Linked DNA regions of Callithrix jacchus. The protein of the gene in region 1 interacts with the protein of each later gene in a pairwise test. Links are inferred from orthologs where the notes say so. Each region holds a gene or a part of one and is shown on either strand. Other genes may lie near its edges.

Region 1 (4,098 bases):
GGCTCTTTTGCAACGTCTGGAGACATTTTTGCTTGTTATAACCTGGGGGTGCTATTGGTATCCAATGAATAGAGACCAGAGGTGCTAAACATCAAAGAGTTATCCGGTCCAAAATGCTAATAGTGCCAGGGCTCAGAACCTTGGTTTAGACTGAAGCGAGGAGAGTCAATGGGAGAAGAAAACAAGGACCAAAGGAAGGAAGAAAAAGGGGTTAAAATTCTGTTTTGAGGTCATGAGGTATCCATCAGTTACATGTTCTCCAGCTTTTCTCCCCATGTCCAATGCCTTTTAATTATTCCGTGGGATTGCAGGGCCATGTTTGAGTAGCTTTTTCATAGGAACATCTTCCTTGTACCTAAAATTCCAAGCCCTGATGCAGTACAAAGAGCTCCACTATAAGACATGGCCAAGACATAAATACAAGCAGTTATGAAACAAGTAGAACTGGAAGGTGGGCAGTGGGGGTGCGTGAAGGGAAGAAAACATATGCCTATAACGCCGTTTCTATGAGTCAGTGTTGCTGAGGTAACAACACAGAACAATAACCATAGGGAGAGCTGAGCTATACTAAGAGCAGGCAGAACTGATTCGGAGCACAAGTGTCAGGAGAGACGCAGCTTTGCAGCAACAGATTCAAAAGCAAATGAAAGGGTTAAGCAATCTGTGCATGTCATTCCGTATCATTCCACATTAAGTCATGGGCAGTTATTACAAGTAGTTACCTGTGGTTTCCAGTGGGGGAGGAAACGGCACTCCAGTCAAGGGGTTTTGGAGAAACAGGTGCAGCGAAGGCATGGTCAAACAATTTATTTACTGTAAACTTTAGACTTTGCTCAGGAAAACAACTGAAACTGCCCCTCGAATCCCTGCCTAAAATACCCCGTGTAAGCAAATAAGAGGAGCGGGGAAGAGTCCATGTTCACAGCTAAAAGGTCCAAGATACTCAAAATCCTCAAGTTCAAGGGTGTAGGAAGGAAAATCTCCTTCGGATACAAATTACCAGCAGCAATATATTACCCCTAATACTTAAATAGTGAGGTAGATACATGGAAAAATCATCAAAACATAGCAGACCCAGGTCCTCTAGGACTAAAGCCCTTCAGACATAAACTTATAAGTTCCATGCAAAGAGGAACTGAACTGTACAAATAACAAATAATCAAATAAGTTTTCTCTCTTTTTACAGCTTAAAAAAATAAAAAAGGCAGAAGGGTGCCCCTCCTCCTGCATATCTCTATACAATTTTATTCTAAGTTTATTACACTCAAGTTAAATAGTCTGTTTAGTGTTCTGTTGGTGGGGGCGTTCTTATAAAGTAGAAAAACTGCTTTACAGCAGTGAGTCATTTGTACTACAGTTCCTCCCTTGTGAATCAATGTTATCGCTAGGCACAGTACCTTGATGGCCCACAAAGTCTTCCGTGCCTGGAAGGTCTTCACACAGCAGTTTATTTTCTTTCTCCTGTTCCAGGTGATATCCACTCTGCTCCCCTGTGTTGCCGTTGCTGTTGCTGGAGTAGCCATTCCCATAGGCCTTCAAAGAAGACCTGTGCAGGCACAGAAGTTCCTGGAAGGCAATCCTGAAATCTGGGCTCCGACAGTAGATAAGGGGGTTGAAAGCAGAGTTGACATAGCCCACCCAATTTAGGAGGATGTAAACTTCCTTAGGGATGAGGTTATCCCGGATCACATGCACAATGTTGACGATAAAGAAGGGCAGCCAGCAGAGGGTGAAAGTGCCCATGATGATACCTAACGTCTTGAGGGCTTTGTGCTCCTTCAAGCAGAACTTGGAAGACCTGCGAAGTCCATGTCCCGTCCGCCCGTCCTGCTCCACCTGGCTAAGGTTCTGGGCATGGAAGCGGCCCTCAGATTTGTCAATCTTTTGGAGCTGCCTTTTGGCCACCTGAAAGACTCTGGAGTAGACGAAGACCATGACCACCAGGGGCACGTAGAAGGACACGATGGAGGAGGCAATGGCATAGGCTTGGTTCGTGAAGAAGTCACAGCAGGTCTCCTTGGCATAGCAGTTAATGGCTTCCTGGTGGGTGGCCCGGTACCAGTGCATCTGAATGGGCAAGAAGGAGGTAAGGCCTGACACGATCCACACCATCAGAATGATCACCCGGGCCTTATTCTTGGTCAGCAGGCTCTGGTACTTGAAGGGTGAAGTAATGGCAAAGTAGCGATCCACCGCGATCACGCACAGGGTCTCAATGCTGGCCGTGACGCAAAGCACATCAATGGAAGTCCAAAACTCACACCAGAAGTTGCCAAAAGTCCACATTTTCATGAGAATATGGCTGGCCCCAAAAGGCACCACTGCCAGGCCCATGACCAGGTCAGCACAGGCCAGTGAAGTGATAAAGTAGTTGGTGACAGTCTGCAGACGCTCGAACTTGGCAATGGCTGTGATGACCAGCACATTGCCAAACACAATGGCCAGGACGATGAGCGACATGACGATGCCCATACCCACCACCCACGCCTCGTCCCGTTCCTGCGTGACGTCGTGGTCCGGCGCGTGGCTTCCATTGGGCGCCAACAAGAAGGCGCTGCTGTTCCCGGGTTGCCCCATGGCGCGCAGTCTGGCAGGTGAGCGCACTGGCTGCCGGCGCCTCAGCGGGCGGATCCCCGGCGGGGCTCTGAGGGCCGCGAACGGACGCCTGGAAGCCTCATTCAGCGGCCGTGAGGTGGGTGTGGTGGGGGCACGTCCTGCACACTTAGCTTGTCGGGTGCTAGGGGCTCACGATGCCAGCCAGTTCCAGCCCGCCCTCTGGAGAAGCCGCCTCGGAGTGCGTACTGCCCGTTATGTGCACAGGACTTTAGGAGAACTGCCCTCGCTGTGACGTGCGGGAACTTTCGGCCAATGGCACGCCGGCAGCCCCGTAGGGGCGAGGCACCCCTCCGCTTTCCTCCCCTCCCCTCACCCTCCCTCTCCCGGGGCTGGCCCGGGCGGGGCCCAGCTGCTCTTTGGCGGGCGGGCCACCACTCCTTCCCGGCTACCCGGGCTGGCCCCAGAGGGCTAAAGCTGGAGCTGGCGTGCTTACCAGCCAACCCGGGAGCTTTTTTGGCTCTTCTGTGGCCGCTACCTGCCTGCCCTGGGAGCCTGTGCAGTCTGAGGTCTCAGGGCAAAGGGCAGCACACCGGCACTGCCCCACATACGGAGGGAAACGAGAGTGCCCACCGAGGCACGCACATACAGGCACAAATACACCCCGGCAGACATGCTCAGACTTATACGGAACCACAGCCATAGACACGGAGACACACCCTCCCAGGGCACCCGCAGGCACACTCGCGAGCGCGCTCACACAGAAGCCGTCAGGCACAAAGTCACCCCTGTCCAACACAGAAACGCGGCCAGAAACAAACACAGAAGCACCAGAAGCACAAAGGCATCGTGACACACACAAAAAGTAAACACAAGCCGGCTTAGAGGCATGCAGAGCGACACAGAGGCGGATGTCTCTATCTGGGTACTCACAAACTTCCCCCACCTGAGCGCTGATAATGCCCCTCTCCCAACATACACCCAGTAACCCAGTATATTCCCTTTCAGACATTTGGCAAGACCGCAGGAGGTGACTTCAGCAGCTGCCGATTTCCTCAGCACACTCACTGTCAAGTACTTTCGGTGCCCTCTTTGGGAATTTGCAGGCATCAAGACAGTTTTACCCTTTGGATTTCATTCGGAGAGGGGGTAAGGATGTATGTATTTTGGGATGGAGAGAGAAAGTTCTGTGCTTTCGTTTTAGTTTCGTTTTGTTTTTAACTCTTAATAAGAGTGTGGCATCACTCACTCATCTGTTGGACAGGAGATGCACTGAGAATTCAAACAATTTCTTCAGTAATCCCAATGCAACTAAAAAAAATCCTTTCATCCTCTGGATAGTTTGTTAATCTTTCAGGTTGAGCCATATGAAATTGCCACCATTTGGTGTCTGTGACTTACCAAAACGGCAAATTCATATGATTCAGAGTATTAAGAATGTCTTAAGATTAAGAACTTTTTGAAACTATAGAAAGCAAAAGATAATTCTCCCTTAAAAAAATAAAGTAAGACCAAATCTCAAAACTAAGATCTTTGTTCACAAAA
Region 2 (3,950 bases), on another chromosome or scaffold:
ACTTCTCAGTGCACTTTCTTGTCAACAGTGGGTTCCTATCTTTTCTTCTTTCTTTTGGGGTTGGGTGCTAGGTCCCATGACATTAGCTGGGATTCTAAGACCTTTGTTCAGCTGCTGTGGCCACCTCTGACACACCCTCTGCTCTCAAATACTAGAGCGTGTTCCTGCCTGCCTGAAGATTTTTTTTTTTTTTAAAGATGGAGTCTCACTCTGTTGCCAGGCTGGAGTGAAGTGGCACTATCTTGGCTCACTGCAAACTCCACCTCCCGGGTTCAAGCAATTCTCCGGCCTCGGCCTCTGAGTAGCTGGGATTACAGGTGTGTACCACCACGCCTGGCTAATTTTTGTATTTTTTAGTAGAAACGGGATTTCATCATATTGGACAGCCTGGTCTCGAACTCCTGACTTCGTGATTCACCTGTCTCAGCCTCCCAAAGTGCTGGGATTACAACTATGAGCCACCGCACCCTGAGGATCTTTGGATTTGCCTTCTCTCTGCCTGGAACTCTTCCCTCACATCTCCACATGGCCGCTTCCCAGCTTCAACTCGGCATCACCTCCTCTGGGAGGCCTTCCATCCTTGGTGCCCGGGCAACACTGCTACCCCTTTGGCCTTTTTTTTTTTTTTTAGGACACTATGTTGCCCACTTGCAGTCGTCCGATCACAGTTTACTGCAGCCTCCAACTCCTGGCCTCAAGCAATCCTCCTGCCTCGGCCTCCCGAGTAGCTGGGCTTAGATGCTGGGGTTTTGGGGTGTCAGCCACTGCGCCCAGCCGCTTTGGCCTCCTTTAAGAGCTTCCCTCCGTGCTTTGTTCGCAGTTCTCGTCACCGTCTGTTCAGTGCGCAGGGCTGGGAGGCGGGAAACTGCCCAACGCCCAGATCTCTCGGTCTGTTTCCCCTTAAGTTCGTGAAGCTCTCTGAGAGCAGAGACCCAATCACGAGGCGGAGACTTGGCTTTCCACATTGGGCAGGGGTCGGCAGCATCCTCGATCTGGTCTTGCATACTACAGACCAGACGGGAGGGCACATCGACCCACCTCGGGACCCTCAGGCCTCAACCCACTGTTGCTCCGGCTCCCCCTGCAAGCCCGCTGCGCATGCTTCGCACTTGCAGGCCCTCCCCCCTCTCTGGGGCGGAGCCGCGCCTGCGCAGCTGCCCGGCGCCGGCTTCCGGGTGGTGCGAGCGCGATGGGGCGGCGGGCAGGTGTCGCCTAGTAGCAGCGGCGAGTGGGCGTGTATGCCGAGCGGTCTGGCCCGAGGGCTGGGGGCGGCCGAGGGTCTTCGGGAGGAGGCCAAAGGGCGCGGAGAGAGCCTGGGATCGCCGTCCGCCGCTGCCACCCGGTATGTCGGCGGAGGCCTCGGGCCCGGCGGCGGCCGCGGCCCCGTCCCTAGAAACCCCTAAGCTCTCGGGTCTAGAGCCTGGCTCCGCCGCCTACGGTCTCAAGCCGCTGACCCCGAACAGCAAGTACGTGAAACTGAACGTGGGCGGCTCGCTGCACTACACCACGCTGCGCACCCTCACGGGACAGGACACCATGCTCAAGGCCATGTTCAGCGGCCGTGTGGAGGTGCTGACCGACGCCGGAGGTACGAGCGGCTTCCCCACCGTGCCTCCATCCCCAGACCCCCAACTCGCGTTCCCCACAGTCTCTCACCACCGGGGCTCTTCATGCCCCTTCTCTCTGCTCACTACTGTCCGGTCAACTCATTCTCAGCTCCCTCCAGCGCCCACATCTCATCTCCTCCCCTTTCTCATTCATAATTTCCCTTCTTCCCCAGTCCTTTACCCCCAGCAATAACCAACATTTACGGAACCCCTAATTCTGCCAGGCGCTGTGGTAAGTGATTGAACGTGTCACTTCATAATCCTCATGACAGCTCTCCCACCCTTCACCCCTCAGCTAAAGACTTGGGTACTAGCCCTGCTGCCTGCAATTCTACTCCTGGCAGCCTTCTCAGTTTCTTCCAACTGCCCAGCCTTTTGCTTCCCTCTCTGCCTCAGAACTGCTCAGCCAGCCTAGAGAAGTGGGAGATCTTGTCTGCCTCTGTGTTCCCCGACACAGGTCCCTGTACACTCCAGGAATCCACCTGTAGACACACATTACAAAAGGAGGATGCTTTAGGTTTGCTAGGAACACCAGAGTGGAGGGGTGGACAGGTGTCATTGGCAGGTGAACCTTACCTTCTTGGAGTGTCGCATTCAAGTTTGGAGCCTACATGCCCAAAGTTTTGGAGTTTGGAACTGGGAGATTCTTAAGGGAGGAGTTAACAAGGACTATGAGAATAGGAGGATAAAAATTTGGGAGGCGGACATCTGCCTTCAAGTATCAAAGGTGAAGAATTTGACTGGGCTCGGTGGCTCACACCTGTAATCCCAGCACTTTGGGAGGCCAATGTGGGTGGATCACCTGAGGTCAGGAGTTTGAGACCAGCCTGACCAATATGGTGAAACCCGTCTCTACTAAAAATACAAAAATTAGCCGGATGTGGTGGCAGGCACCTGTAGTCCAAGCTACTGAGGAATCTGAGACAGGAGAATCGCTTGAATCTGGGAGGCAGAGATTGTGGGTGAGCCGAGATTTTGCCACTGCACTCCAGCCTGGGCAACTTAGTGTAATTCCATCAAAAAAAAAAAGTGACGAATTCATTTGTCCAATTAGTGTTTGTAAAATATCAGTTAGTGCTGGAGATACATAGGTAAATGAACGTGACAAAATTATGGCAAGTCCCCTTTTTTAAGGAGGTGGGAGATGAGATCAATAAGCAGGTAAAAATGCATAATATGCAGGTAGTAAGTTCTTTCTTTTTTTCTGATAAGTTCTATGAAGAATATAAAAGTTAAAATGGTAGTGAATTGGAGGGAGGTCGACATTTTAAATAGGATGGTCAGAATTAACATGGGGGTTAGAGGTTTATTGATAAGGTAATTCTGCAAGACCGTTCGTGTTAAGAGCTTCTGACTGTAGATCAGATATGGAAGAATTAATTCTCCGGCTGGATGTGTAACTTATGGGAGAACTCACTAGAGATATTTTAAAGAGATTTTTTGGCTGTGGCACAGATTAGTATTCAGTCTTTTTTGTGACTTTGGAATCCTTTTTTTTTTTTTGAGTCAGTGTTCCCTAATGTTGCCCAGGCTGGAGTGCAACGGCGCCATCTCGGCTCACTGCAACCTCCGCCTCCCAGGCTCAAGCTATTCTCCTGCCTCAGTCTCCCAGATAGTTGGGATTACAGGCATACGCTACCATGCCTGGCTAATTTTGTATTTTTAGTAGAGATGAGGTTTTTCCCTCTTGGTCAGGCTGGTCTCGAACTCCTGACCTCACAGCTTAAAAAAATGTGAGGTGATACACCCTCCTCAGCCTCCCAAAGTGCTGGGATTACAGGCGTCAGTTACCACGCCTAGCTGGAATCCGTTTTTTCTTATAATTTAGGCCAGGTGTGGTGACTCACACGTATAATACAAGTACTTTGGGAGGCTGAGATGGGAGGATCACTTGAGCCTAAGAGTTCGAGACCAGCCTGGGCAACATAATGAGACTCCATCTCTACAAAAAAATTTTTCTTTAATTTAATAGCTCCAGGTCCCCCAGCAAAGCCGTCTTTCCTTCTGCCTTTCCCCACCCTACTAGGTTGGGTGCTGATTGACCGGAGTGGCCGTCACTTTGGTACGATCCTCAACTACCTGCGGGACGGGTCTGTGCCACTGCCAGAGAGTACCAGAGAACTGGGAGAGCTGCTGGGCGAAGCACGCTACTACCTGGTTCAGGGCCTGATTGACGACTGCCAGCTGGCACTGCAGGTGAGGGCCTTCCGAGTCCCGGTGCCTATGTTCCTGAGAGAGCTGCCCAAGCAGGTATTAGGACAGAAGAAAGGAGATATGGGGTATGGCCTAGAGAGCCTGCCTCTGATTGGCCATAACCCCAGAGAATTTGGGATGCTATCTTCT

Evidence for each region.
Region 2: the proteins of ADRB2 (region 1) and KCTD13 interact in a protein complementation assay, tested with the Homo sapiens proteins (2 studies listed by BioGRID and IntAct, with this or other methods). The link is inferred for Callithrix jacchus from reciprocal best matches to the Homo sapiens genes ADRB2 and KCTD13.

The regions. Positions count from the first base shown.
Region 1 is NC_133503.1:47,515,591-47,519,688, reverse strand, and holds the start of ADRB2 (beta-2 adrenergic receptor), read right to left. Parts: upstream 2,801-4,098; 5' UTR 2,578-2,800; coding exon 1,398-2,577; intron 1-1,397. UniProt on the Homo sapiens protein: Beta-adrenergic receptors mediate the catecholamine-induced activation of adenylate cyclase through the action of G proteins. The beta-2-adrenergic receptor binds epinephrine with an approximately 30-fold greater affinity than it does norepinephrine.
Region 2 is NC_133513.1:29,593,132-29,597,081, forward strand, and holds the start of KCTD13 (BTB/POZ domain-containing adapter for CUL3-mediated RhoA degradation protein 1), read left to right. Parts: upstream 1-1,150; 5' UTR 1,151-1,344; coding exon 1,345-1,588; intron 1,589-3,633; coding exon 3,634-3,803; intron 3,804-3,950. UniProt on the Homo sapiens protein: Substrate-specific adapter of a BCR (BTB-CUL3-RBX1) E3 ubiquitin-protein ligase complex required for synaptic transmission.